Diceros bicornis minor: one gene and its partners. The protein of the gene in region 1 binds, or shares a complex with, the protein of each later gene. Links are inferred from orthologs where the notes say so. Each region holds a gene or a part of one and is shown on either strand. Other genes may lie near its edges.

Region 1 (9,696 bases):
GGAATTTCAATCCACTGGTGATCTAATAAACTTGCCCAGTGCTGCTGTGTCTAAAACCTCTTTCCACGCGCAACACTGGGCGACCGGCAATTCTCTGGTCCAGGTAGCCCTCTGCAGAGGCTGGCTGGCAGACCAGGCACCTCTCCCAGATTGCCTTTTGTTAATAGCTGGCAACAACCCACTTGGTATTAGGACCACTGGCCAAAGACAATAGTCAGGCAAAGCAGGCAAACGGCCAAAGTCTCTTCTTGGAGATGCCTCAGAGGGTGTGTCTGAAGCGCTGGAATCCTGTCCCTCCTGTAATCAGCTGAACAAATATTTGCCCCCAAAGAGAATCAAAGCAGGAGGGAATAAGAGAGGTCATTGCACAAACCAACAGGAACTATTTAATCATTTATCCCCCCAGGGAGTTCATTTACAGAATGGCTTTCAAATCTGGTCAGCCTTAGCTCAAGAGAGCCCTCTGCCTTTACCTCCCCCAACCCCACCCTAGTCATCTGACCTCTACTGACTTGACCCCTTTGCCTTTTACAAGAACTGGCAGTGGGAAAAGTTGATAAAGTTGTAAAGAAATGGGAAATAAGACAGGAGGTGGGGTTCCAGGGCATACTCGGAGGTCTCTCGCTCACTGGTAAACTGAAGTGCCTGCCACACCCTAGGCCCAGCCTATGGATAATTGCATTCTTGACATTCCTGAGTCCATGGTGAATGGCCCCCTTCCACCTCAGCTCCTTCAATAGATGACTTATTTTCCACACCCTGCTTGATAGCCTGGGTATTCTGAGGAGACAGAATACCTCTCATAAGTCCTGCACCTCCCTCCCCAAGGCAGGAGGCAGGGAGATAAGCAAGGAAATAGGACTGAGTCCACTGTAGAAAAGCAAAAATTGCCTACAATGACCACTGGTAAAGAATCTCTCACCACTATCTCATCTTGACTTGGTGACGGGCAAGAGAATTCTCCCTCCCTGGCAAAGGTGTGAGGCATGACTCCTGGGCCCAGAAAGTGTCTGGGACCAATAACAACTACCACAGCAAACTTACTGGTGTCAGTCACTGGGCTCACGTTAGCTCCAAGATTTACAGTACTCTGCAAGGAAAGGAGGGCCTGCCCCATTTTTTTAGTGGAAGAAACTGAGGCTTAAGGTAAGCTGGCCTGTCCAAGGTCACACAGCTAGTTAAGTGACAGGGCTGGGACTCACACCCATGTGTCAGTTTGTTTCCTAAGTCTGTCACTGAATCTCAATGTCCCACAGAGGCCCACAGACCGGCTTCTTGCTTTGCCAGCAAACAGTGCTGGGTGAAAAGGCCCCAGGGCCCTGGCCGGAAAGCAACAGGCGGAACAGCTAGAGCTCCCCAACCGACCCTAGGCAGTGAGGTGCAAAGTCCCCAGGCCTAATGCGTGACACAGCAAGAGCTCCGCAAACAGGCCAACCATGCAGAAAGTTGCACACTTCAGAGCAAATGACCATAGGCGAGCAGCACAAACACAACTGCCCCACTGGCACAGCTTACATTGCCCTAAAATCAGACCATCCTCAGCCATCCAAGCCAGGGGGAACTCCTGCCTGGCCATGCCCTGTTCTGAGAGGAGAGTACCATGTATGCAAACCCTGAAAAAAAGGGAACTTGATTTGGGGGAGGGAAGCCCAGGACAGGACTGACATCCCGGGGGAGTAAGAATGGAGGAGCTTGTGGGTCACTGATACTATCTTCTCCAGGCATTGTACTCATCCCCCCTTTGCGTGGCAAGCCTTTATATTAGGGGGAGGGAAACAGTGGACTAACTTCCCACTCTCAAAGGTTTTGGGCCAAATGAACACACAGGCTGTCTTTTGCTCTTCTGAGAAACTGGAACACAAGTATGAAAGAGTGGGGTCATGAGGGTGACTAGAATGAAAGATGCCTGGTCCTTCAAGATCTGGGTCATCTGTATTTCAGAACAGTTAACCTCTTGTGGTGCAATGAGGCTACTCACATCTCCTTGACAAAAAACATCTCCAACAATCACCCAGCACAACATAAAGAGATAGAGGGGAGAGGCTGTTGGGGATCTCTCTGACCAAAGGCCAAGGAAAAGGGACACACAAGGGGCGTGGTCCTTACCCAGCCGCCGTTTTCCTGGATCCAAGGCTCTAGGTGGTCATTCAGGTAAGTGGCCATCCAAGTTGCGATCCGACTCACCAATACCTGCATCTCCTTGTCTACGCTTTCCACGCACAGTGCCCCACCGAAGGAGAAAAAGGCCACAATGCGACCCCAGTTCACCCCATCCCGGAAGAGTTCATTCACCACCTGCTCAAAGCTCTGATACGCTGTCCCTGGGGTGATGTGGAGCTGGGATGTCAGGTCGCTGAATGCCCGCCGGTACCTCAGTTCAAACTCATCGCCCGCCTCCCTCAGCGCTTGCTTCACCGCTGCCATGGGGATCACCTCCCGGGCATCCAAACTGCTGCTGTGGCCAGTGGCTCCATTCCCCGCGGAGCTGTCCGCCAGGTGCCAGGATGGGTTGCCATTGATGGCACTGGGGGTCTCCATCTCTGATTCAGTCCCTTCTGGGGCCTCAGTTCTGTTCTCTTCCACATCACTGAACTGACTCCAGCTGTATCCTTTCTGGGAAAGCTTGTAGGAGAGAAAGTCAACCACCAGCTCCCGGTTGCTCTGAGACATTTTTATAATAGGGATGGGCTCGACCAGTCCATTGTCCAAAACACCTGCTCACTCACAGAGTCTGGTCTCTGCTTGGTGCTTCTCTTCTGAGATCCAAAGCCAAGATAAGGTTCTGAAGGGAGAGAAAGAGCTTCAGGAAAAAAAAATTAATATGCATGCCATTTACCCTACAAACATCCCATTCCCCCTCCAGGTACCAGAACTGGTTTCTTTGTGGCTCTTCTGAAGGTCTGGTCTAGCTTCCAGGAGACTTCAATGAAGTCAAACTGAAAGCACCAGTGGGCTCTGAATCATCACACCGGCCTTTTTTACGCCAGCCACCCCTTTTTCTCCGAAATGCCTTCCTCGGAAAATCACCCCCCTGGGCAGTCGGGCCCCTACCCCCGCCTCCGCACCACCTACATTCAAATCCCTCTCAAGCGACGGCAGGCAGGTGCAGCCCCCGGAAGATCTTTTGTATCACAGGTCGGGAGAGGAGGTGGCAGCCGGGATGCCGGTAACTCAGCCGGCCTCGCGGCGGCTGGCAAAAAAACCAGCTCGGGCTGAAAGGATCATGCGACCCGGCAGGCTGGGAGCCCAGAAGGCGACACAGGAATTACGAAGCTCAGGAACCGGCCCCCTCGCCTGCTTCCTCCTCCATCGCCCAGATCGAGGGCGGCCGCTCGCAGCCGCGGCCTCCTGCCACCCGGGAGCCCAGCCCCCTCGCTCTTGCACGCCCCTTGGCTCTCCGCCTCCTACTGGGAGCCAGGAGAACTCTCCCGGAGGTGGCTGGTGTGGGGTTTAGGGTTTGTTTTTGTTTTTTTTTTTTTCTTTCCTATTTAAGTACCAGCCCAGGGTGAGGCTTCCGAAACCCTGAAGGGACTTCTCAATGGGGCTCAAGGTTTCGATGAGGGACGGAGGGAGGGGGAAACTGCCTCGGATCTGCGGTGTGACTTCGGAAAGGCCATCCCCAGGCCTTTCTGGGAGGCTGAAGGCCGGGGACCTCCCAGAAACGCCGCCGGTTTTCTTTGAATTCCCCAAAGGCCCTGGACGTGGCGGTGGCAATGGAGGATTGCCGGGTCCTCCATTCCCGGCACGGACACAATGGCCGCCGGCACCCTGCACAAAGACCGGCTGAGGGCGAGGCGCCGGGCCTCTCCTCGGGTCAGGGAGAGGGGTCGAGGCCTGCTCGAGGCCCCCCACGGCTAAGACCACGTTTTCCTGGGAGAAGGCCCAAGGCAGATTCGTGCCGCCCCCAGGAGGGCTTGGGGGCCGGGGGCAGCACCTCTCCGGCGGCCGCGGTGGGTGGGCTGCGGCCTCGCGGCTTCGCGCGCGCGCTGGGCCGGGTACCCGCCGGGCCACCGCCCCGTTGCTAGGCAACCGCTCTCCCTCAGGGGCGCCCCCTAGACCTTTCTGGGAGGAGGGGTCTCGCCCCCGGCGGCCCGCCCCAGCGTAGCCAATCAGCGAGCCCAGACGGCACGGAAGCGGAACGGCGAGGGCTCTCATTGGGCGCAGCGCCTGCCACGCGTAGGGGAGGCGGCGCTCTCACCTGCGCGCCCCGCCAGCCGTGGGGGGCCACATCCCCCCTTCATCGGCCAAGTCGTTTCCAGACGGGAGGGTTCTTCGCGGCCGAGTTCCGCGCCGCGGACCCGGGCCGGCCTACCTGGCTGACGGCTCGCGCTGTCTCTTCCGAACGAGCCGGCCTCAGTTTCCCCTGAAGAGACCGGGGGAACTTGCAAGCTCAGTCACTTCCGGTGCCGCGGTAGCGCGCGCGAGCCCGAGACGCACAGGGAGTGCGCGCCTTGAGGACTGGCGTCAAGACCTGGGAGAGAGCGCCCCCTTGCTGTAGAGCTGGGGAATCCCGAGACGCAAAAAAAAATCCACGTTTACGTTCACGTTTCCATTCAGTCAATTTCATCCATCCGTCAGTTTATAGATCGAAAAAGCATCGCGTTGTAGCTAACAAGCTTGCGTCTGGGATTCCAACTCTGCCAGTTGGGCAAGTCACTCAACTGCTGTGTGCCTCAATTTCCTTAATTCTAAAATGGGTAAAAAACAACCTCCCTCATTGCGTTGTTGTGAGGATTAAAAGAGTTATTTGTAAAGTCCATAGAAGAGTGCACCGTCCATAGGATGTGCTGCATAAATTCACTCAACAAATGTTTATTGTTTGGGTTGCTGAAGGTAGATTTAGGAACAAGACAAGCCATAGTCCCTGCTTTCATTGAGATTTAAACCCTTGAGATGGAGAGAGACAGTAAACAACTAAGAAACTACACAAACGAGGTAATTTCAAATAGTGACTAGTGCTATGAAGAAAATAAATCAGGGCATTGTTGTAAAGAGGGTGAAGGGAGAGGTGCTGCTTTAGACTGAGGCTCAGGGAAGTAAGCCCAGCCTTCCGTGCCCAGTGAGGGAGGGAGGCATTTTTTCAACAATTGTTTTGCAGGGTAGCCAAGGATGGCATCTTTGAAGAGATGACATGGAACACAAGACTTGAAATATAAGAAAATGCCAACTCATGGGAAGAGCCTAGAGAACACCAACAGAGGCAGAGGGAACAGCTTGTGCAAAATGTCCTGAGGCAGGAAGGTCTTGGCATGTTCCAGAAGCAATGTGACTGGAAGGTAGTGAGGGAGGGCAAATACGGTGTGAGAGGAAGTTGGAAAGCTGACCATGGAAGTGAGTTGCGCTTGATTCTAAACACTGAAAGGTGTTTTATTTTATGTTAATGTAATTGATTAAAAATAGGTACGTATACAGGAACACCAAATATTAAAAATATACCAAAGAGCATAGGATGAAAAAGTCCTCTTCCCACCCCTGCTTTCCAGTCCCCTGTTCCCCTCACAGAGGTCATCACTCTTTTTTTTTTTTTTTTTGTGAGGAAGATCAGCCCTGAGCTAACATCCATGCGAATCCTCCTCTTTTTGCTGAGGAAGACCGGCTCTGAGCTAACATCTATTGCCAATCCTCCTCCTTTTTTTTTCCCCCAAAGCTCCAGTAGATAGTTGTATGTCATAGTTGCATATCCTTCTAGTTGCTGTATGTGGGACGCGGCCTCAGCATGGGCGGAGAAGCGGTGCTTCGGTGCGCGCCGGGATCCGAACCTGGGCCACCAGTAGCTGAGCGTGTGCACTTAACCGCTAAGCCACGGGGCCTGGCCGAGGTCATCACTCTTAACCCCTTCCTTCTGTAGTCTTTCAGAGATGGTTGCTGTGTTCACAAGCAAATTTATGTGTATAAATGTTTCACACAAATGGTAGCTTGCTATAAACACTTCACATCTTGCTTTTTCCATGAGCTCTGTATTTTGGGTCTGCCTCAATTTTTTAAATTAATGCACAACTTTGTAAAGACATGTCATAATTTCCTTGCCCAATCCCCTATTTGGAAATACTTAGGTAGTTTCCAGTCCTTTCCTATTACGAATAAAGTTATAACTTGTCCATTCCTTATTTTGCATGTGGCAGTTTATCTGTTGGGTAAATCCCTGGAAGTGGAATCACCAATAAACAAGAATGTTTTCGTTGCGTTTTAATGGATATTGGCAAAGTGCTCTATATAGGAGTTGTACCAGTTTGTTCTCCCACAAATAAAATATGAGAGTGCCTATTTCCTCACATCCTGAACTATACAGTGTTATCAAAGCTTTTTATTTTTGCCAATCAGATAGATAAAAACGGAGACACTTTCATTTTTTATTTTTATTTTTATTAAGAGTGAAGTTGACTAATTTTTCATATTTGTGAGTCTTTTGGGGGAGGAGTCTTGTTCTAATGAATTCTCTGTTCATTTCATTTGCCCTTTTTTCAGTTGGGCTTTCTGTTGAACTTTTTACTCATTGATTTATAGAAAATTTGATCCTTTTTTTCTATATGGAGGTTGTAAATATTTTTCCAGTTTATTATTTATTACCATGGAAAAACTTTTATTTTGTATGTATTCTAATGTATCAGTCTTTTCCTTTGTGGCTTCCGGGTTCTATGCCATTCTTAGGAAGACCCTCTCCAGTTTGATATTATACAAATAATTCTCTGTTTTCTTCTAGTTTTTACATGGTTGCATATTTTACATTTTAATCCTTGTTCCATCATAAATTTACTTTGTTTTAAGGTCTGAGACAGGAATCCAAAAAATTTTTCCAAATAACTACCTAGTTATCTCAATATTATCATCTTTTCCCAACTCATTTGAAATGTCTCCATTGTCATAATCTACGTTCCCAACGGTATTTGGGTCAATTTCTGAACTTTCTATTATATTCCATGGAAGGGTTTTAAACTGGGCAGGACATGATCTGATTTCCACTTTTAAAACCTGTGGTGTCACAATTATTTCAATGTGAAAATTATCCTTATGGAAGTCTATGATGTGCTTTGGGAGCCCAGCAGAGGGCAGATCAACTCTGCCCAGAAACATGGTTTTTATTGAACTGGCCCTTAAAGGGAGAATAGGATTTTGCCTGGGAGAGAAAGGAGGTAAGGGGCATTTTAGGTGGAAGGCACCACCTGAGCAAAGCCACGGAGGTTTAATGCAAGAGCCCATGGTGTGTCCTAGAAATAAAGTGGGATGGCTGAGAGTAGAATGTGGTGGAGGAGACTGAATGTATGTGTGTATTCGACTGCGCAGGACACTAAATAGGTACCGGAGGAGCCTACCAGGCTTTTTGAACAGAAAGGACATGGAGAGGTTTATATTTTGGAAAGAGGGATAGAGTCTTTTGGGAAAGGAACTTTATAATATTTATCAAGAGCCTTAAAAACAGCTCTGGAAAGATCATTGAGAAATGATCTTTGATTGGAATCTAATTTAAGAAAAGAAGTGAAATACAGCCAAAGATTTATCCACAGAGATGTTTATGCAAGATTATTTATAACACAGGAAAGAAAAATTAAAACTGAGAATTTCAATAAATAGGGTGATGGTTAAATGGGTTAAATTCACACATTAAAATTGTAATTGAGGAATATTTAATGACATGGAAAAATGCTCAAAACATAATACTTTGTAAAAAAAAAAATAGGTTTACTGAGAATTATTCTAATTTATAAAAAACGTACATTACATGCAAAATATAGAAGGAATTATACCAGAATGCAAAAATGTGGTTATTGCTGAGTAGTCAAATTATGGATGATTTTATTTTATTTTTTATACTTTTCTGTATTATCCGAACATGATTGTATTTTTTTAAATTAGAAAACACTATTTAAAAACATGTTTGCTGAGATTTAGACAATGAGGAAACGCTTATACAAAAATAAAAGTATACAAAAGTAGATGTGTGATGTGATCTCAACTCTAAATACCATACATACGAAAAAGGCTGAGAAATTAATATGATAAAGACAAAAGAAAGATGGAAAAAAACCCTTGCACAGATGCTAAAGAGGAACGGAACCAGAGCGGTCAGTAAACCTGAAAAGATGCTTAACCTCACTAGTTATCAGGGAAAATGCAAATTAAAACCTCAGTGAGATACCATTTCACACTCACCAGATTGGCAAAATTGAGAAAATCTGATCAAATCAAGTGTGGTTCAAGAATGTGAAATAACTTCGGAAAAAAAATTATTGTTATCTAGTGGAGTTGAAAATGCCCATGACCTATGACCTGGCAATTCTGTTCTTTGATATATGCCCTAAAATAACTCTTGCACATGTGCAAGATGCAGGTATAAGAATGTTTATAGCAGCACTACTTGTAATAGCAAAAATTTGGAAACTACCCAAGTGTCCATTATAGCAAAACGGTTAAACAAATAGGAGTATGTTCATATATAGTAATATGATACAGTAAGAAAATAAGTGGATTTGGCTACACAGCATGAAAGAATCTCGGAAATACTTTGCATGAAAAAAATGCAAAAGAATAATGCAGTATGATTCCATTTATATATAGTTTGAAAACAGGCAAAACTAACAAACATACTGTTGAGAGTTTGTGGTAGCCAGCTTCTCCCAAGATGGGCCCCCCACATCCCTGCCTCCTGGTATTTACACTCTTGTGCAGTCCCCTCCCGCATTGTACCAGAGTTGTTCCATGTGACTGATAGCAAATGGCAGAATTGATGGTATGTCACTTCCAAGACTGGGTTACCACTCTCTTTTCTCTCTTATAACTCACTCTGGGGTAGCCAGCTACCATGTTGTGGGCAGCCCTGTGGAAAGGCCCATGTGTGGTGAGGATATGAAGCTTCCTGCTAACAGCCATGTGAGGATCCTGCTGCCCCGTGAAGCCTTCAGATGACTACAGCCGACAACTTGACTCCAACCTTACTCGAGACCCTGAGCCAGAAGCACTGCATTAAGCTGGATTCCTGACGCTCAGAAACTATGAGATAATAAATGTTTATAATTTTAAGCTAAATTTGGGAGTAGTCTGTTCTGCAGCAATAGATAACTAATACAGGGATATATACCTATGTGGTAAAATTACAAAGAAAGGTAAGGAAATAATAAACACGAAATTCAAGATAGCCATTACACATTAACAGGGTAGGGTACAAGATGAACCGGGGAACAGGATAAAATTGGGAGCTTGAAAGGTAATGGAAATGTCCTTATTCAACTGAATTGTACATATGTACACAGAGTTTGTTGCCTCATTATTATTATTACTATTATTTTGGTGAGGAAGATTGGCCCTGAACTAACATCTGTGCCCATCTTCCTCCATTTTTTATGTGGGATGCCACCACAGCACGGCTTGATGAGCAGTGTGTAGGTCCTCACCTGGGATCTGAACCTGTGAACCACGGGCTGCAGAAGTGGAGCATGTGAACTTAACCACTATGCCACCAGGCCAGCCCCAAGTTGCCTTGTTATTCTTTATATATTTTATACATTTTACATATATATGTGTATATATATATTTGTGTATACATATGTATATATACACATGTATTACTCAATAGCTAATAAAACCAATTTTAGAAGGACTGGAAGAAAATAGACTCAAATGTTAATAGTGGAAATGTTGCCTCTAAAGGCTAGGTTATAGTTATTTTTTTCTACTTCATTATTTCCCATATTTTCCAAATAT
Region 2 (9,628 bases), on another chromosome or scaffold:
GGTTTGGGTCCTGCTGTACCACGTGCAGGTGTTCACACTGCTTGTCACCTGCAGGCAGAGCAGCATGGCGGCTGTGTGGTGCCCCACCACCCCAAGCAGGCCGGGCTGCTGTCAGCTTCCGGCACCTGCAGGCCTCGGCCCAGACTCCCCGTGTACCCTAAAGCCATTTGGGGTACAAAAGCCCCTTACTGGCCTGCAAAGGACATACTCCACCTTGCCCAGAGCTGACGAGATCAGAAAACACTCTAAAGTGGGGCTGGCGAATGTTTTCTGTAAAGGGCCACACAGTAAATATTTTGGGCACTGCAGGCCGCAAAGTCTCTGCCATAGTCACTCAACTTTGTGGTCATAGCTTGAAAGAAGCCATAAACAAGACAGAAATGACTGTGTGTTGCTATATTCCACTAAAATTGTATTTAGGGACACTAAAATCGGAATTTCATATAATTTTCATTTGTTATGAAATAATGTTCTTTGGATTTTTGTCAACTATTTAAAAATGTCAAAACCATTCTTAGCTCATGGGCTGTACAAAAGAAGAGGGATTTAGCTTGTGGCTGTGGTTTGCCAAACGCTGCTCTAAACCTGACTGTGTCTGTCTGTCCTCTGCCTGAAACCTTCAATGGCTCCCCATCGCCTATGAGATAAAGCCCAAACTCCTTGGCATGGCCTGCAAGGCCCTTACATTCTGGTTCTAACCTATACTTCACATGTCTGCCATCAGGAGGGCACTGGTTATTCACGTCTCTGTCCCCACTGAATCAATGGCAGTCCCCAGGACTGCTCAGAGCCTGGGACAATGCATAGTAACAATAACAACAACAATCGCAATAATAGTAAGAACCGCAAAGACTCCCCTGTGCCAGGCACTGTTCCTGTATTAACTCAGCAGATCCTCACTATGACCCTGTGAGGTGGGACTAGTTCTATGCCCATTTTACAGATAAGAAAACTGAGGCAGGGTGAGTTAACTAACCTGCTCAAGCTCAACCTGGCCACAGTCCCTGCCCTGGGAACCCTTACAGTCCATCCAGCAGGGGCCAGGTGGCAGGGAAGATGAAGAATGACGGGAACCTGCCCACCCGGAGGGGGCAGTGGCCCTGTGGCTCTGGCAGGTCATTGGCACTTGTGGATCTTTTATGGAAAAATCACTTGCTTTTTAGACACTGAAAACTAAGTCAAAAGTTTAAGAAGTCCTGTGTGGTCCTCTCAAACAGTGGCTTTCTTCTCTCCTGCAGCCCTCCCCACGGCTGGGTCTGGAGCTGGGGTAGATGTCCCCTGGGCTCCTTACTGCTCTTCAGATCACTCTCCCCCCCACTGAATCTAGTTTGTTGGGTGTGCCATCCCCCACTCCATGCCTCAGGTGCCCCCCTGCCCAGGTGGCGCCCCCAGTTTGTGCAGGAGCACTCTGTCCATCACCCCTCCTGTCTCACTTCATTCATGGACCAGAGTGGTCCCTCCCACCTCCTAGCCTTTCCTTCCTTGCCCTCGCCCCCCTCCCCTCCCCTCCCCTCCTCCTCTTTCCCGCGGGCAGGACCTGGGCCTGTCACATCAATAACTCCATCCCAGGCCTCCCACGGGCTCACCACCACCTCCTGCCTGTCAGGACGGCAACCACTTCAAAACTGCTCCTCTCTCCCCTCAGCCCCCAACCCTTGCCCCACTCTCGCTCCTGGCCTGTGACCTTTTACTGAGAAATTGAAAGCACCCACAAGAGAAACGTCTAGTTTCCACGAGGTATATACCGCCCATGTCCACTGCCCTGCTCTTAGCTGAGCTGCCCCTCTGCTGGGCAGCAGACCCCCGTCTCCCACTCAAGGACATCTCTCCGGCAAGTCTCCCCTCTCTCCTGCAACATCCCGTATTTCCCTCGCTCCTGGATTACTCCCATCAGCTTATAAACATGTTATTTTCTTTTCCCTTTCTATCTTAAAAAAAAAAACACAACACTTCCTTGCCTCGCCTCGGGCCTTCAGCTGCCGCCCACCCCTTGGCTCCTCGATACCGGAGGACAGCTGCTGAGAGCGGGCTCTCTCCTGTCTCCAGCTCTCTTCCCATTGTCCCTCCCCACTGAGGTCAGCCTTCCGCCGCCTCCCCACCATTGCGGTGGCCCCAAGTTGTCAACGTCAGCGCCCCATTCCCAGCCCTCCTCCAGTGAGCGGCCCTCCCAGGAGCATCGTGGGTCCAGAGCCCCACTCCTTACGAGCCCCATACGCCTCCCTGGGCCCTGCATGCTCTGGGTTTCCCTCCCACCCCGCTGCTCCCTCCTTCTCAGTCCCCAGGGCCGGCTCCTCCTCTTCTGCTGCCCTCTGAAGGCTGGAGCCCCCGGCTCAGTCCAGGTCCCCTCCTGTCCACACTGGCTCCCTGGGCCTCACAGAACAGGCCGTCGGTGACTAACAACTCCCACGTGCACGAATCCTGCCTGGACCCATCCCTACTAGAAATCTCCACCTGGATGCCAAAAAGGCACCTCTAAGCTGACCTGGCCCAGCTGGGCTCCTGATTGTCCCCCCATATCTCAGTTCCATCTCAGGAGCAAGCCCGTCCTTCCAGGCGTCCAGGCCAGATTCCTCGCAGCATCCTCGACTCCTCTTTCCCTCACCCTCACATCCAGTCCGGCAGCAAATCCTGCTCTACCTTCAGAATAAACCCCGAGTCCAGCTACTTACCACTTGCAATGCCACCGCCCTGGCACAAGCCACCATCCTCCCTCGCAGGGACTCGGGCGCAGGCTGCGGCCCCACTGCTGCTTTTGCCCATTGCAGACTCAACACAGGGGCCCTGGGGATTCTCTTGATGCCAAAATCAGATCACCCCGCAGCTGCTCAAAGCCCTCCCATGTTTTCACTCAAAGTAAAGCCAAAGTCCTTACCTTGGCCTTCAAAGCCTTGCCTGGCTGCCCCTCCCCCTCCATTAACTCGATGCATCTCCAGCTCCCAGCCCCTCCCCTCACTGGCCTGGACCGGTGAATCCTGCCCCCAGGGCCTTTGCATGCACCCTTCCCGCCCCACAGATACCTGCGTGGCTCACCCCTCATCCCTTCCAGCCTTTGCTCGAACGTTGCCTCTTACCGAGGCAACCCTGACCACCTCAGCTGAAGTCACTCCCCCAGGCCCGGTACTCCGAATTCAAAAGAGACAGGCAAGACTGTTTGGCGCACTGCCCCCGGCTGTCATCTTCTAATGCACTCTATCATTTTCTTCTTGTTTATGGCTTGCCTCCCCTAACCCCAGGACAGGGTAGGCTCCACGAGGGCAAGGATTTTTATCTCATCTGTCACTGATGTACCCCTGGAAGCTGGGAGACTACGTGGCACCTATTAAGCACTTGATACAGAGGATGGGGAGGAACAGCCAGGTGGGAGGTGGAAAGCTTTTTCAAGCAGAAAAACAGCAAGTGCAAAGATCTGGAAGTTAAAGCCGGTGGAGTTCCGTCTGACAGGGCGTGTGGCGGAGGGCTGGGGAGGAGGCTTTAGTAAGCCTTCTTGCTCCCGAAAATGAAAGGGGTCATGTAGGTTTCAGCACGCGAGGGATGTGATTTTTGTTTTCAGATCTCTGTGGTTGTTCCAGGTGCCAAGGCCAGTGCTGGGCACTGAGAAGGTGGGACCACTGAGAAATGGCCACTGCCCTCCTGTGCCCGTCCTCCCATCTCTCGGCGCTGGGCCGCCCTCAGTGGGCGTGGAGGGAGGCCTGTGCTTCCCCACCCCTACAGTAACCCACTGACCGGGCGGGCTGTCTGCCTCTTGAGGTCACCTGCCCCTGGCAACGGGCAAGGATAGCCCCGGTGTGGGTGTGACCACAGGGCGGGAAGGAACATACCTGGGGACTAGAAGGCCCATCCCAGAGAAAGCACGCAGCCTGGGGCAGAGCGCTGATGGAGCCTTCCAGCCCCGCTTCTTACGAAAGGAAATGCCAAGCAAGTGTGACCTTAGGCAAGTAACTTCCCTTTTCTGGCTCCCTGCCTGCCTCTCAGATTTCTGTCCTGGTCCTAACAGCTACATTCTTTGAGCATTCATTAAGCACCAGCACTATAATTAAGTGCTTCCTGTATACTCCTGCTATTCATCCCAACAGCCCTACAATGGTGGTGATTAATTTCTCTGTTTTACAGCAGAGGAAACAGAGGCGCACAGAGGTTAGGGACTTACTCAAAGCCACCCTATGAGTGTGGATGCGGCTGGGGTGCAGGAGGTCCTGGGCTGGGGGCAAGGGGGTGTGCCTACCTCCATGGTGGCTGCTGCTGGCCGGCTGCTCCTGCTGGTGACCGGCTTCCCCCAGGAGGCCTGGGGCCGTGCGCTGGTGCCTGACCAGGCCTGAGGGCCGGTCCCCCGTGGGGCTGGGGCCCAGGCCCCTATCTGCAGGGCTGGAGTCTTCTTGCTCACTCTGCTCAAACTCTGGGATCTGGAACATGCTCTGGGCTGTAGGGGCAAGATGGTGCGTGGCTAGGGGCAAACGGTGGCCGGCGGGGGAGGTGGGGGGGTAAGGGTAGGCACCCCTGACCCCCTCTCCCACCTTAGAGCCCCAGGTCTGCCCTGCCTCCCAGGCCCCCATCTGTCCACTGAGTGTGGGCCGGGCAGGAAGCTCAGATTGTCCACCCAGGACCCAAATCTCCTCGGGGAGCCCTGGAGCGGTGGAGCAGCCCCAGGCCCCTACCCAGGCCCCGGCCTGACCCGCCCGTGGTGACGGCACCCAGGTCTCACCCCAAGCCCGATCTGGAGGCCCTTGACCCGAGCCCGCCACCGCCGCCGCCGCCGCCTCCCTCTAGTACTGAGGGAGCCCAGCCCGAGTTGCCTGGGCAACGGAAACTGTCACAGACCCGGCCCAATCAGCTCTCGATATGTCACTAGGGCGGGCCAGGAGGCGGGGCCGCTCCCGGCCCGGCCCCGCCCCCCCCGCCGGACCCGCTCTCCGCCGCCCGCCTTCCTGCCTGGGTCCACTCCTCGTCTCCGGACGCTCGGCTCCCGGCTTTCTCGTGCCCTGGGCGTGTGTGGGAGCAGAGGAGGGATTCTCTGGGGTCCCCACCGGGAACCTGGAGACCAGCTTCTGGTGACAAGTCCTTCCGCCCCTCTGGCCTCAGTTCCTACCCCTGTAGAATGGGGATAATGACACCTCCCTCAGGAGCCACTGATCATTGTAAACCGTGTGTGAAAGCACTTTGCAAAGCCGTCATTGAAGCTTGGCCGCCGGCTGCAACTGTCGTCGCTGTTGTCACTGCCCCGTCTGGATGGGTGGCCGGGTCGGGAAGTCCCGCGCCCTCCTCCTCCCCACAGTGGAAACCTCGCAGCGCCCGCATCGGGCACCACTCCCCGCGCCATCGCGGGAGCGCTCGAGATAAGCGAGCAGTCTCCTGCCTGGCGGGATGGCTGCCCCGGCGCAGGAGAGCGGACAGGGCCCCCTGGGAGGGTGACCGTAGGACTCGCGGGGTCTTCGCGCCTGGCAGGCGGCCGCCCAGGTGAGCGGGAGCCGCTGCCGGCCAGGGCGTGGGGCGGCGGGCCGCTTGGGGACAGCGGGGACAGCGGGTGAGGCCCAGGGGGCGGGGCCCGGAGGCCATCTTGGCTGTGGGCGGAAGTTTCCTTCAGGAACCGGGTGAGGGGAAGTCGTTGCCGCCCTCAGCCGGGCGGAGCGATCTCGGCTTGGCTATGGGGAAGAGAAGCATGGGAACTGGCGGCCCCTCAAACAAGCAAGGGCCGGTGGCCCCGGGCACGGCCCCCCCAGGCGCCCGCCGGATGCGGCGCGGCCCCAGCGTCTCGGCCGCCTGCAGCCTCTCGTAACCCCTGGCGTCCGCCGGCGGCGCAGCTGCGCCAATTCTCAAACGGCTCCGCGCCGGGCGCGGCGCCGGACTGCGGAGCCCGGGCCAGACCCTGCGCAATTTGCGTAGCGACCGGCGCCCGCGCAGGCGCAGGAGGGGGCGGAGCAGCGGGAGCCGGGGAGCTGGAGCCCCGGGTCCCAGCGACCGGAGCCGGCTCCCCCAGCGGCGGCCTGAGGACCCGGCGTCCGCCTCCTCGGGTCCCCCGCGGCTGGAGGGTGGACGCAGTGGGGGTGGGGTGGAGGCAGCGTCCGGAATCCCGAGGACGGAAGGCAGAGGCCCTCCCCATCCGGATCATTGGAGGGGAGAGATCTCCCCAGTTTGGGGAGGGGGAGAGCCGGGCGTTGAACGCCCCCCGCAGCGGCCGCTGCCCTGAGCCCACGGGCATCGGCCGGCTCTCCCCCTCCTGCCGGGACGACTCGAGCGACCAAGGCCAGGGACCTCTCTCCTTCAGCCTCTGCAGTCCCCTACCCCGGCTCTGGGGTGGTGCAGGGGAGACACCCCCCACCCACCTCCTCTACCCTGGAGAGGAGAGACTGCCCTTCCACGCCCCGAGTGAGGGGCGCAGGCTCCAGGCTGCCCGTGCCCCGCTGCAAGGGCGAGGGCCCCTCTGTGGAGGGGGAAGGGCCTGGTGAGCCGCAACTTCTTTCCTCGCGAGCGCCCCATCTCCATCTCTGTACCCTGCAGCTCCCACCCCTCCGTATTTATTTCCCTGGCCCCCTGCCAGCCCCTCCATCTCTGTCTCCGGGATTCAGGCCTCCCTCCCTGACATGGAGAGTAACCTATCTGGCCCGGTGCCTGCTGCTGGGCTGGTGCCTGCCCTGCCACCTGCTGTGACCCTGGGGCTGACCGCGGCCTACACCACGCTGTACGCCCTTCTCTTCTTCTCCGTCTATGCCCAGCTCTGGCTGGTGCTGCTCTATGGGCACAAGCGTCTCAGCTACCAGACGGTGTTCCTGGCACTCTGTTTGCTTTGGGCTGCCTTGCGTACCACCCTCTTCTCCTTCTACTTCCGAGACACCCCCCGTGCCAACCGCCTGGGGCCTCTCCCCTTCTGGCTTCTCTACTGCTGCCCTGTCTGCCTGCAGTTCTTCACGCTGACCCTCATGAACCTCTACTTTGCCCAGGTAACTGTGGTCCCGGGTGGGGGTGGGTGGTGGTGGGGCAAGCCCCAGAGGCCCAAAGGAATGATGGGCGTCTCTGCTCCCAGGTGGTGTTCAAGGCCAAGGCGAAGCGTCGGCCAGAGATGAGCCGAGGCTTGTGAGTACTCGGGACACTGGTGGGCTCAGCCCTCAGGCCAGGGAGCAGCCCGGTGTCCATTCCTTCCTCCCTTGCAGGGCTGAGGCAAGGACCACCCCAGGAGTGTTTGTGAAAAAGCTTGGAAAAGTAGGGCTCCTGGGGTGGATGGCTGAGCAGAGGCGTAGCATAGGTCAAGAAAAATTATAATAGAAACAGTCGTGAGTGAGGGGAGAGGGTACCAGTGTCACCCATGATGGAGGAAGAGTGGGAGGCTTCAGCCCAAGCCAGACTGCACTTCTGGGTGACCTTGCGTGGCGATATCCTGTCATTTGTATAACGTCTTCCAGTTTATGACGAGCTTTCACAAACATCTTTAATTTTTACAACTTACCCCTGAGGCTCTTACTATCGCCATTTGAGAGATGTAGAAACTGAGGGCCTGCAAGGTAAAGCAGCATGTTCAAGGTCGTAGACCTGGCAGAGAGCAGAGCCAGGGCTGAAACCCAGACTTCTGACTCTCAGTCCGGTGCTCTCTCCACTCGACCACAGCTGTCGGTCACCATCTGATCTCTTTGGGTCTCAGTTTCCCCATCTAAAACTGGAGGGGCAGTCTTCGGACTGGATTGGTCTGGATTGGTTCTGACTGACCAGGGTCTTCTGTGGGAGGTGGGGTGATTGAGCGCCCAGGGCTGGGGCTGACTGTGCTGTGGGCCGCAGGCTGGCCGTCCGAGGGGCCTTCGTGGGGGCCTCGCTGCTCTTTCTGCTGGTGAATGTGCTGTGTGCCGTGCTGTCCCGCCGGCGCCGGGCACAGCCCTGGGCCCTCCTGCTGGTGCGAGTCCTGGTGAGCGACTCCCTCTTTGTCATCTGCGCGCTCTCTCTGGCCGCCTGCCTCTGCCTTGTCGCCCGGCGGGCCCCCTCCACCAGCATCTACCTGGAGGCCAAGGTAGGGCCACAAGCCCTGATGCCTGGGTATCCTTTGGGGGTCTTTGGGCAGTGGTCTTCAGGGTAGAGAGGAAGCTAGAGCCTCCCCTCCCTGTTGTCATCTGTGCCAGGGGACCAGTGTGTGCCAGGCAGCCGTGATGGGTGGCGCCATGGTCCTGCTCTATGCCAGCCGGGCCTGCTACAACCTGGCGGCCCTGGCCTTGGCCCCCCGGAGCCGGCTGGATGCCTTTGATTACGACTGGTACAACGTCTCCGACCAGGTGGGCATTCGGCACGTCTGCCGCCTCCTTAGTAGCTGTGGCTCCTGGTCCCCAGCTGGCCTGGGCCCTATCTGGGTGCCCCATAGCACGACTGCGGACTGACACAAGCCCCTGCCTTCCCACAGGCGGACCTGGTGAATGACCTGGGGAACAAGGGCTACCTGGTGTTTGGCCTCATCCTCTTTGTGTGGGAGCTGCTGCCCACCACACTGCTGGTGGGCTTCTTCCGGGTACACCGGCCCCCGCAGGACCTGGTGAGGGCTGTGGAGAGGGGTGGACATGGAATCCTGGGCTGGGGTCTAAAGGGTTTGTGGGAGGCCAGTGAGGGCAGGAGAAAGCATCAATGGTGGCTTCCTCCCCAGAGCACCAGCCGCATCCTCAACGGGCAGGTCTTTGGCTCCCGTTCCTACTTCTTCGACCGGGCTGGGCACTGCGAGGACGAGGGCTGCTCCTGGGAGCACAGCCGGGGCGAGAGCACCAGGTAGGAGCCCCGGCCCTGCCTCAGACCCCTGGGCTCCCGGCTTGCTCCATCAAGCTATGGGGACCTAGTCCTGGGTCTTGCCACCCATCCACCTGCCTGGCCCGCCGTGCTCTTTGATTCCCGTCTGTACTAGATGAGGTCTCCATCTCTCGCCCCGAGATGCAGTTTGCATCCTGGAGGTCTCGGTCATTGGTTTCTGTTCTGAGGCTCTCTCCCTCCCCCAGCTCTTGTGAATGTGGCCCTGGTCACTGCCCTGGGACTGACGGTGTTTCTCTGCCTGCAGCATGTCAGGCAGCCTAGGCTCCGGCAGCTGGTACGGCGCCATCGGGCGGGAGCCAGGCTGGTGCGGGGGCAGCCAGACGCGGACCACTCCTCTGCTCTTCTCCCAGGTGCTGGGACCAGGCGGCCACCACCACAGTCTCTACTCCACCCCACAGACGTGATCCCCTTCTGTTTCCCCCCAGAACACCCAGACCCCAGTCCTCCTACCCCAGGCCCCTGTGCCAAGTTCACCTGCCGCTTCTTGCCCAGGATCCTGGGGGCTGTGGCTGCCTCTTCCCCTGGCCGGCTGCTTGCTACTCTTGTTGTAGTGAGCTTATGCCGTCCCCTAGGATGGGAGGCATGGCCCTGGTTGCCAGATGCCCACAGCGCCTTGGCATGACCTGCTGCCTCCGCTTCTACACTGGAGCCAGCGACCTCTCCTGCACCTGCCACTCAATAAACAGTGTCTGTGCCCCGCGTCCATTCACTGTCTGTCGGTTGTCCGCTGTGTGTTCCTTGCTTCGTCACCTGTTTAGCTGAAGGCTGATCAGACACCTGCCCTTGAAGGGGGCTGCTGGGCAGGGAGAGGGAGGAGCCTGCCTTCTCAGGGGAAGGAAGAGCCCTGCGCCCCCTCCAGTCC
Region 3 (10,342 bases), on another chromosome or scaffold:
GCTCGCCAGTTCGGATCCCGGGCACACACTGACACACTGCTTGGCAAGCCGTGCTGTGGCGGCATCCCATATGAAGTGGAGGAAGATGGGCACGGATGTTAGCCCAGGGCCAGTCTCCCTCAGCAAAAAAAGAGGATTGGCAGTTCTTAGCACAGGGCTGATCTCCTCACACACACACAAAAAAGGGCCACATGGTTGTTTTAGGATTTGCAGGCCATAAGGTCTGTTACACTCATCTCTGCTCTTGCAGTGTCAGAAACAAATGAGCATGGCTGTGTTCCAATAAAACTGGACACAAATTTAGATTTTGTAATTTTTCATATCCTATAAGCTATTTCGATTTTTCCCCATTTAAAAATGTAACCACCACCTTAAAATCAGACAAAAACAGGCGGCAGGACAAGCCAGTTTGCCAACCCCATTCCAAGGAGTTTGACAAGCATTCCAGGAGACATCTAGATTTCTCTAGAACTTGGCTCTACTTGATTTATGATAAATAAGCTGAGACAATACTTTGCTTCCAACTGTATTAGTCTCTTTTTATTCTTTTGGTAATCTCTTCCAGAGTTAACTACTTCCGTTTGTAGGTGATGAAATGTGTAAGGAATCCACTTCAAATGTAGGCACTGCTATGAGCATGGTCTTGCCCTTTACTTCAACTCAGAATTAAGACTTGTGATTCTTGGTTTTATATTCCAGTCCCAGAAGTAGTTTTCACTGTAGAAGTTATCTGAAGACAGTCTTATGCTTTCTAGTAGTGGTCTACAACCAGGCTCTAGCTTCTCCAGGAACACTATACAAGATGCATTTAAGTATATATTAAACTAAGAGGCATTCTCTCAAATGAGTTTAAATGCATTTTATTTTTAGACAACCTACATGACATGTTTTTTCCTTAAAAACAATGCCTCCGCTCCAAATAAATCAAGGTCAAAATAAATGAAGAGCTCAGGATGACATCAGTCCCATTTGTCTAAGTCCTGGTGTTGTGTGGATGAAAAGCAGCAGCCAGTTATGACAGGTGTAGATCCAAAGTAATAGCCAAATTTGTTACTGTAAAAAAAAGAAAGATTGTATTAACACTTTTTCCCCAATATAAAAGTATTTAACATTCCTAACCTGCAGATGTATTCCCCTATTCAATCTGAGCTGCCACGAAGACAGGCAGAAAGCGCAGGGATTTCCTTCTTTTGCATCCCAGTGCAAACCAAATGAACAACAACAAACTGTTCAAGGCCTATCAGTGGGTGCAGAACCACCTTCACTAATCAGAGGTAGCACATTTTCCTGAAAAGTCTCATTCTGAGCAAAGTCCCACTCACACACTTTGTTCTACCAAAACCTCAGATAGTCTCTGAATAATCCCTTTAGCAACAAGTCATCTGTCCTTTCCTAAGACATTTTTGCCCATTGTTGCCTCTAATCTTATTTAGTGTGGCCTAAAGTTTATCTTGATCCTAATTTAGGTGGAAGCTTCTAAAAGCTAGCATAATGAATGCTTTCATTTCCCTTTTGCCGCCAGCAATTCCTTGCACAGCAGACATTCATCCATTTATTTCATTTTACTAAAGCAACTTTCATGTTGAGTCAGCAGCCAGCTCTAAACTGTATTTTCTAAAAGCTAGTAACATCAAGGCTTTCAATGACCAGCTGTCAATCATCAGTAAACCAAAGTAAAAAAGGTTTTGATATTCATGTATATATGTGGCAAAATATGAAGAGAAAGGCAGTCTGATTTCGACAGGCCATTTCTGGGAGAAAGATCAACATAGGGTGTTGTCTCTGATCTCCAGTATTTAAGCTGTGCTTTACAATGCCATCAACAATAAGTTTTCTTTAGCTAAAGAAAGATTCTAAGCCTCTGTGCCATGAAAATCTTTTCTTGTGTGAAACACAACCCTCTTTAGACTCCCAAAGTAAGAGAAACAAGACCTAGACCCACATTTTAAAAGGACTGCTGTAGAATCCATTCTAACTTGCCCAGTGGCATGAAAAAGGAGAATCACACCTAAGATATCTCCATTTTTACATTACTGATTTTGACCCACTTCCTTATACTTACACATTTTTCCATTTCTAAACCATCCTTAAAGAAAATCATATATGGGGTCACACCATCCTCACGGTAGTCCAGCAGAGCAACCATGCCATCTGGATTCATGTTTTCACCAATAAAGAACTTAGGAAGCAAACAATACCCAGAATTAGTCCATTATATACAGATGTATCATATGAAAACAAACTGCAATAAAACAAAGGATGGTTCAGAACACCACAATTTAATCAAGAGACTTTCAGCTACTAAAGGCTCTGATGCCTAGGAGAAAAAATGCTCACTAGTCAACCTTCTGTTCACCCAGTTAACACACTAATAATGACCAAAATTAACAGTACAAAGCAGTCCAGGAACAATTTAGGCTTTCTGGAAACTTGCTCTCTCAACCCCACATATACAATTTCAAACCCTACAAACCTGTACACATAGTCAAGCACAGGGAACGTAAGGCTACCAATGAAAGAGCACATCACAAGGGGAGTTATCTTATGGCCAAAGGATGTATGAAAGCTGGAAAATTAAAGAGCCAGGTTGTGGTGGGTTTGTTTCTTTATTAAGTCTTAGAGGTAAGGCGAAATCATTGAAGTTCCCCAACAGAACCAGCTCAGATCAGAAAGAGCTCCGGTGGCAATGAGACATACAGGAATTGTAAAGAGAAAGAAAACTGGAAGACCACTTAGGAGGTTAAGAAGCAATTCAAGAGAGGAACTAAGCGAATAGGGATGAGATTCTGGAACCAGAAGACAAGATCTGGAAACACCCTTGGGAACAGGGAAAGTTACTGTCTACAGCCTCCACTACTGGAGTTGCATCTGAATTATTTAAACTGCTCAAAAGCCCAGGAAAATAACCACAATTTAATTACATCCAAGATTCATCAAGTAACTAATTTTTTGTTCTCACAGCTAAAACCGTACAATCCTTTGATCCAAATATTTAAGGTATTTACCTGGTAGTTTTTGAAATTAGCAAGGATGTGCTTGATTTGTTCTGCAGCCCCTGTCATAAAAGGTTTTACTCTTTCTGGTCTCTGTTCTTCAAGTTTGCCTTTGATTCTAAAACAACGTTTTATTAATAGGTTAAAGTATTGAGTTCTGAGCAAAATAAATCTCATTAAGTAAAAAATCCAAACAGAAACAAACACACTGAAAAGGGCAACTAGCTGTCAAGGAGCAAAATAATATGACACAATCGAGAAATTACTAGTTCACAGGATGGATGTTTCAAGACTGTTCACAATTTTGAATCTTAACTTATTTCCAAAGTACTATCTGAAAAGCTAAAACCAGACTGCATGCTCCACTATACTCTCATTAGTTTATTTACAGAAAAGCAACCATCCTAGTGAGCTCATCAATAAAAAAGGCCTTTCACAAGTACACCTGCTGCTGCTAAAGATCCTCAAAGTCAGCCAAACCCTAAATCCTAAGGCACACCAGACATCAGCTGGTGTGCCAGTATCACTTACGATTTCATGTAATCTTTGATGTACTTCTTGTAGGCTTCTTTTGTGAAGCTGGTTTCCTGCAAGTGATGGTTCATGACAATATCGACACCAGTGATTACTGTGCTTTCGGTACCTTCGCCCTCGGGGCCTTCAGCGGAGGCATTTCCACCAATGAGCGAGTCATCAATGTTACCCTCTGTCCTACTGACCATCTGCATTAAGAAAAAATAACTTAGTTGTAAAAAACATCCTTGACCTTAGCATAAACGCATCCAAAAAATCGGCTACGCCAGCAGTTCAGGAACTCATCATCCTTCCAAACATTCTTGGCTCTTGTTGAAAACCACAAAAACCTCATCATGGGAAAAAAACTTATGAGCCCTAGAATTCCTGAAACATCTTAACTCAACAGGAATTCTTTGCCTGTCGACCGGAACGAAGACGGGGTCATTCACCACCAAGTGAAAGTCATGTGTGGGCTCTCGGGTTGCTATGGGCTCATGAGCCAGTAGGGACAGGGCAAACGCTGAAGGGCTGGGGGCTCCCAAACCAGAGACAACCTGTCCCGGACGGCCCGAGCCCGGGTGGAGGATGGGCGCCAAGGCGGCGGACCTATTTCCAGGCTCAGCTCCGCCTCCACTTTTCTAGAAAAACCCGAGCCCGGAAAGAGCGTCTCCTCCGCCAGGAGGCAGCGGAGAGGATTGCACAACCTCGGGCGGGGGAGCGGCGGAAACCCGAGCCTGCCCGGCCTCGCCTCGCCCGCGCCGCGGCCCAGCCGACTCACCTTCCCCTCCACCTCCAGGCACAGCCCGTCCGCGATCTCCCGGATCTTGTAGATGTCGGAGAACATCTCATCATCTGCTCGGGGACACAGACCCGCCTGTCACCGAGCGCACGGGGCCCGGAGCCGGCGCCATTTCCCGCGCCGCCTGGCCGCACGCGGCCCCGGCCCTGCCCGGGCGCTCTAGACGCGGCGCGGAACCAGGCACCGACCCCTCCTCGCTCCCAAGACGGCCGCCAGCGTCCCCCAGGCCCACGACAGCGGCGGCGTCCGTCCTCCCCGCACCCCCGACCCCGCGCGCGGCAGTAGGCGTAGTGCAGTCACGACTCACGGCTGATGAGGTCCCGGTAGATGATCATGGTGACAGCCGGACGGAGACGACGGCGGCGCAACTTAGCAGGAGCTCGGAGCGAGCGCGGTGCTGCCGGAGCGGCGCTCGGGGGGAGGGGGGAGCGGGCGGAAAAGGCCGACTCAGCCGCTCCCCAACCTCATATAGAGGGCACGTCCACCTACGTCATCGCCCGCTGCGCCTCCGGAAGTGCCGTAAGCGGTGACGTGGCACGCAGAGCTGCGCAGGGGGCGGGACCACAGCGCGGGCTGGGGGGCGGGGGGAGGCGAGCATCCGGGGACTTGGCCCGGGGACACAATGCCGCGTTCCACGGAGCGCGCGGGGCCGGGTTGTGGAGAATGGTTGGGGGCAGCGGGGAGGAGCGGGCTGAGGAAGGTGCGGGCTGAGGAAGGTGCGGGCTGAGGAAGGTGCGGGAGGATTTCCGGGGCCCTAAGCGGGAGAATGGGGCAAGCGGGGCCTGGGGCGCTACCCCTCGTTAAGCTGTGGGACTGCCCCGGCGGGTGCTGAGCCTGGGTGGGGCTTAGATGAAATGTCTTCAAGCTTCCGCCCTACGCCTCGCTTCGCGCAAGCTCCCACCCCTTTCTGGAAGCTAAATGTTACTGTTGTAGGGGGTACGGAGGGTCGGGCCCTGGAGGCCTTGGGGGACCAGTGAGGCTGTCCTCGAGGATGAGGGCAGGGCCTGGGTTTTGGACTGGCCTCTGATCTCCCAGGGCCTCAGAGGACTTTTCAGCATTTGCCCCAGCAGCTGCCCCAGCTGGAGTTTTCCGACGCCTTTTTGGGCAGAGCTGGGTCCGGTAATGGGATCTAGGTCATGCCGCTAGCCTCTGGGAGCAGTCATGGGGGTGCAGGGTTTGTGGGGAGGGACTTGGTGGGGGGAAGGAAGGTGTCACGGAGTTGGCATAGCTTTCCCTTCTCTCAGTTGAATCCTGTATTGGAGAGCTTGTGGATTCCTCAGGCAGACAGCTGAAGAGCTCTTGCCCTTTCTGTTTTGCACTTGTCTTGAATTATGTCCTTTGTTTGAAAAAAGGGTCTGTTTTCCAAATGTTGGAGAGGATGTGGAGAAACGGGAACCCTCATACACAGCTGGTGGGAATGCAAACTGGTGCAGCCGCTATGGAAAACGGTATGGAGATCCCTCAAAAAATTAAAAGTACAAATAGCCTGTGATCCAGCTATCCCACTACTGGGAATCTATCCAATGAACCTGAAATCAATAATCCCAAAAGGCCTATGCATCCCTATGTTCATTGCAGCATTATTCACTATAGCCAAGAAGTGGAAGCAACCCAAGTGTCCTTGGACTGATGATTGGATCAAGAAGATGTGGTATATATATATACAATGGAATACTACTCAGCCTTAAAAAAAGACAAAATCGTCCCATTTACAACAACATGGATGGACCTGGAGGGTATTATGTTATGTGAAATAAGCCAGAAAGAGAAAGACAAACACCATATGATCTCACTCATGTGGAGTATAAACCAACACATGGACAGAGAAAATTATTGTGGTTACCAGGGGCAGTGGGAGTAGGGGGTGGGCACAAGGGGTGAAGGGAGACATGTATATGGTGATGGACAAACAAAAATGTACAATCCAAAATTTTACCATGTTATAAACTACTAAAACATCAATTAAAAAAAAAGGGTCTGTTGTCACTTTAAGATGAAGTTGGACTTATAACCCAGATGCTAGAGGGTTAAACATAAAAGCAGGGAACTTCCCACCTCCCAAGTGTTGTTTGGACTTTAGACCCAGTTACTAAGTACTAAAAGAAACCAATTTCTCTGTTTAGTTACATCTTTAAGGCAAAGATGTATGCCATATGAAACCCGAGAGCTTGCCATTCCACGGTATTTTTATGCTCTACTCTGTCCCTAGCACTGGGTTTTGCACAGAGGTCCCAATGGTGAACAATTTAAATCCAGTTCCACCCTCAGAAAGTTTCTTTCTAGTAGAAGAATCAGGAAATTATAACACATTAACAGTTTTCCCTAAATCCGTTAATGATGCATTCCACAGAGTAAGTGAGAGCAACCGTTGTGAAAGAGCAGGGCACAGGACAGTGAACTGAGATAATGGAGGAGTCAAAATGGAAAAGAGCCAGGAAATGGGACCCTCCCGGGAAAATGGGGTCTGGGGCTGCACCAGACACCCCAGAGGACACTGGGTAACTAGGAGGAAGCTAAAAAATGGGGTAAAGGGAATTAGAAGACAGATGGACATCTTCTGACAGGTGGTCTATGAAGGGTCTCTCAAACCTCTTGATTATTTCTGGACTGTGTTGAGTGGAACAGATTATTTTCCCAGGCATATCACAGTTTAATTATTTTCCTCAGCTTTAACATTCTCAAATTATTCAGAAAGATTCCCATTCACTCCTACAGTGCCCTCAAACATTACTCCCTCTACTCCTCTCCAGTTTTATGTTTAATTAAAAATGTTTTTTCAAGTTTTGTAAAAACAGCCACAGTGAAGACATCCTGAAGTATTAAGTCAAAGCACCCTAGGTTGAATCTTGGCTTTAGGTGTTACTAGTCCTGTGACCTTGGGAAAGTCAGCCTCCCCAAGCCTAAGTATAAAATGGAATTTTTTTGACTTAAAAGGACTTTGGGGAGTTAAATAAGATGATGAAAAAAATGCTTAGCATCCTCAATAGGTTATCAATAAGTATTGGTTGAATGATGCCAAATTCTTCCCAAATTTTTTACTTTTCAAAATATTTCTGAAACTATTCTGTTAATCCTGTATATTATTTGGAAATATTTTGGGGATTTAGTTTAGTGTTAAAGACATTCTACTATTTAATCACAGCACTGTAGGGGATCGCTGAAAGAAGTCAACTTGTGTCCTTGTGAGATTTCTATCTCAGGTTCAAATTTGATAGCTCATGGCAAGTCAGTGACTAGACATCCTAAAAAATAAAATCTTGGGAAAATCTGATTTGTATTTCAGGATATTTTAAAAACTCCATGCTGTGGTCTAGAAAATCTGTGCTGTACCTTGAAAATACCTATTTAGAACACCAATAATACAAATAGAGGACAATTAGCCACAAATTGCAAGCCACTGTCAAAATTACAAGGATTGGGCTTTTATCTAAGCTGATTAGTTTTTACTTAGGCATCATTTGAATTTTTTTATAACACTCCTTACAAAGCAGTGATTTCTAACAAAATCTAAGATTGTCCTGAATTTTACAGCTATATATGACTCGGTATTTCTTTCAATTAAAGAGATTTCAAAGACAATGCTTTCTGGCCTCTTCACACAAGTTCTCACAGGAGAAAATCACCTCAGGAGGGTTCGCCATTTTATCAATTAGGGATAAACTACGATGGCTTAAACACATAGGGGCTTATTCTCTCTTACAAAAGAAATTCAGGGGTATGCAGTCCAGACTGAAGCTATGAAGTCATGGTGGCTTCACGGGCATCAGAGACCCAGGAACTTCCTTTCTTCAATATGGTCCACCATCAATACAGTCTACGATAGATGCTATAATTCCCGTCATCACATCCATCTTGCAGGCAGCGAGAAGAAGGGAAGGACCACAGGGATACATTCTAGCTGTGTGTGTCCCTTCTAAGGAGATATTCTAGAAGCCCCATGAACAATTACAAGGATGCATCTAGTTGCAAGGAAGGCAGCAAACTGTAGTCTTCTAGCTCCTTGGCACTGGCTCATTGCCACCCTACATACACTCAGGACTTTGTTGTCAAGGAAAAATATAGGCAGCTTCAAGTGCCTGCTGTACGCACAGTGCAAAGGGTCTGGCTCTCAGCTTAGAGGTGCTCACTTTGCTCACTGGAGCTCAGGTTCAAACTTAAGAGACTGACTGGCAAACCACAATACCATTAATTTAGGATGAGAAATTCCTAGCTGGTTAGATGTAGTATAGAAAGTAGTCAAGTTACAGAAAATGTGGTTTGATTAACAGGGAATTAGGCAGAGAGTGTTGGAATGCACGGTATGATTGTGACAAGGTGATTAGGAATGAAGCAGCCAAGCTGGACTATTCTTGGTGTGTGGTCTGAACCCTTTCATTTTGAGATACGTTAAGAAATTTGTATTCTTTTTTCCTAGACTCTTCATACTCTGCTAACAAATCGTTACTTTAGTCAAGTTACAAAGCAAAATTCTTTCCTTTAGAGCAGAACTGTCCAAAAGAACTTTCTGTGTTAATGGAAATGTTCTATATCTGCTCTGTCCAATAGAGTAGCCACTAGCCATATGTGGCTTTTGAGCACTTGAACTGTGGCTAAGTGTGACTATGGAATTGAATATTTACTTCTATTTAATTTTAATTTAAATTTAAATACCCATGGTTAGTAACTTTATTGGACAGCAGAGCTCTATAAGGTAAGCTCTATGAGGTGGGAGACTTTGTTTTGTTAACAGCTGTCCCCCAGCAACTAGAACAGGGCCTGACTCAATAATTGTCACTGAGGGCCGGCCCGGTGGCTTAGTGGTTAAGTGCCTGTGCTCGGCTGCTGGCGGCCCGGGTTCGGATCCCAGGTGCGCACCGACACACCACTTCTCCGGCCATGCTGAGGCTGCATCCCACATACAGCAACTAGAAGGATGTGCAACTATGACATACAACTATCTACTGGGGCTTTGGGGGAAAAAATAAATAAATAAAATTAAAAAAAAAATTTAATTGTCACTGAAAGAATGGATGAAATGAAGTTCTCTTCATGTCTCTTAATTAGATTAAATCTAGTCCCATCTCAATTAATTGGATTTAGCATATATCCAAGACCTGGTATCACAGTGCTTTTCAAATTGAGAGTTGAGAAACAATTTAGTGAATAGTGACCAACTTTATTAAAAATGAAATAGAACAGAGAAGAAAATAGAAAGAATCACATGCAGTAAAGGAAAAAGCCTCCACAGGGAGTATTGTTTCACGAAACTTTAATTTTAGATTTATACGTGTATATATGTACTGGATCCCAATGTAAGATGTGTTTCTTCATGTGGATCTGGGTCAAAAAGTTTTGAAACCCATTGATTTAAGCAAATTTTCTCTTCAAATATATTTCTTGGCAGCATCAACTGCTCAATTTCAGGGGATGATTTTTTTTTTTTATGTGGCCCAAGATTTGGTGAATACTTATTTTTGACTCTGTAGCCCTTTTGAACAAAGGTCATGTTTTTGTTACAAAATAGCCTTGTCTGGTGTTAATATTCTATGAGATTGTTTATGTTCAACAGAAGAATACCAAGGCCTAGATGGGAGTAGGCCAACCCTGGTGATCTAGTGGTTTAGATTCAGCCCTCTCACCACCGAGGCCTGAGTTTGTTTCCAGTCAGGGAACCACACCACCCATCTGTCGGTTGTCATACTGTGGCTGCTGCGTGTTGCTGTGATGCCGAAAGCTATGCCACTGGTATTTCAAATACCAGCAGGGTTGCCCATGGTGGACCAGTTTCAGCAGAGCTTCCAGACTAGGACAGACTAGGAAGAAGGACCTGGCCACTCATTTCTGAAAAAAATTGACCAGGAAAACCAAGTGAATAGCAGCAGAGCATTGTCTGATATAGCGCCGGAAGGTGAGACGATGGAGCAAAAGACTGGGCAGGGCTCCGCACTGCTGTATACAGGGTCGCTAGGACTCCACGCACTAACAACAAGCTGGGAGTAATGAGTCAAGTTCCTAGTGATAGCTAGGCCTAGCTGAGAGTACAGGTTCCTTTCTC

Evidence for each region.
Region 2: the proteins of BCL2L1 (region 1) and BAD are in contact, whole or in part, in a crystal structure (PDB 2BZW), measured with the Mus musculus proteins. The link is inferred for Diceros bicornis minor from reciprocal best matches to the Homo sapiens genes BCL2L1 and BAD. Residues at the interface, in NP_001276645.1 of Mus musculus: Ala93, Glu96, Phe97, Arg100, Tyr101, Arg103, Ala104, Phe105, Leu108, Gln111, Leu112, Gln121, Ser122, Gln125, Val126, Glu129, Leu130, Arg132, Asp133, Asn136, Trp137, Gly138, Arg139, Val141, Ala142, Phe146, Asp193, Leu194, Tyr195, Gly196; in NP_031548.1 of Mus musculus: Ala137, Leu141, Ala143, Ala144, Gln145, Tyr147, Gly148, Arg149, Leu151, Arg152, Met154, Ser155, Asp156, Glu157, Phe158, Glu159, Phe162, Lys163.
Region 3: the proteins of BCL2L1 (region 1) and TPT1 are in contact, whole or in part, in a crystal structure (PDB 4Z9V), measured with the Homo sapiens proteins. The link is inferred for Diceros bicornis minor from reciprocal best matches to the Homo sapiens genes BCL2L1 and TPT1. Residues at the interface, in NP_001304848.1 of Homo sapiens: Ala93, Glu96, Phe97, Arg100, Tyr101, Ala104, Phe105, Leu108, Gln111, Ser122, Gln125, Val126, Glu129, Leu130, Asp133, Asn136, Gly138, Arg139, Val141, Ala142, Phe146, Leu194, Tyr195, Ala199, Ala200, Ser203; in NP_003286.1 of Homo sapiens: Phe14, Asp16, Ile17, Lys19, Ile20, Arg21, Ile23, Ala24, Asp25, Gly26, Leu27, Cys28, Leu29.

Annotation. Positions count from the first base shown.
Region 1 is NC_080758.1:27,764,673-27,774,368, reverse strand, and holds the start of BCL2L1 (bcl-2-like protein 1), read right to left. Parts: upstream 4,395-9,696; 5' UTR 4,313-4,394; intron 4,302-4,312; exon of another isoform or gene 4,199-4,301; intron 3,915-4,198; exon of another isoform or gene 3,073-3,914; intron 2,980-3,072; exon of another isoform or gene 2,868-2,979; intron 2,801-2,867; exon of another isoform or gene 2,783-2,800; 5' UTR 2,671-2,782; coding exon 2,107-2,670; intron 1-2,106. UniProt on the Homo sapiens protein: Potent inhibitor of cell death. Inhibits activation of caspases. Appears to regulate cell death by blocking the voltage-dependent anion channel (VDAC) by binding to it and preventing the release of the caspase activator, CYC1, from the mitochondrial membrane.
Region 2 is NC_080770.1:8,706,931-8,716,558, reverse strand, and holds the start of BAD (bcl2-associated agonist of cell death), read right to left. Parts: upstream 4,750-9,628; 5' UTR 4,700-4,749; intron 4,418-4,699; 5' UTR 4,410-4,417; coding exon 4,223-4,409; intron 2,841-4,222; exon of another isoform or gene 2,761-2,840; coding exon of another isoform or gene 2,670-2,760; intron 1-2,669. Other genes in the region: integral membrane protein GPR137, read left to right, coding at 6,576-6,932, 7,016-7,065, 7,762-7,987, 8,097-8,246, 8,372-8,500, 8,609-8,727, 9,117-9,528. UniProt on the Homo sapiens protein: Promotes cell death. Successfully competes for the binding to Bcl-X(L), Bcl-2 and Bcl-W, thereby affecting the level of heterodimerization of these proteins with BAX. Can reverse the death repressor activity of Bcl-X(L), but not that of Bcl-2.
Region 3 is NC_080748.1:31,403,297-31,413,638, reverse strand, and holds TPT1 (translationally-controlled tumor protein), read right to left. Parts: upstream 4,750-10,342; 5' UTR 4,644-4,749; coding exon 4,616-4,643; intron 4,362-4,615; coding exon 4,288-4,361; intron 3,716-4,287; coding exon 3,525-3,715; intron 3,112-3,524; coding exon 3,006-3,111; intron 2,180-3,005; coding exon 2,063-2,179; intron 1,254-2,062; exon of another isoform or gene 1,124-1,253; intron 1,054-1,123; coding exon 1,051-1,053; 3' UTR 845-1,050; downstream 1-844. UniProt on the Homo sapiens protein: Involved in calcium binding and microtubule stabilization. Acts as a negative regulator of TSC22D1-mediated apoptosis, via interaction with and destabilization of TSC22D1 protein.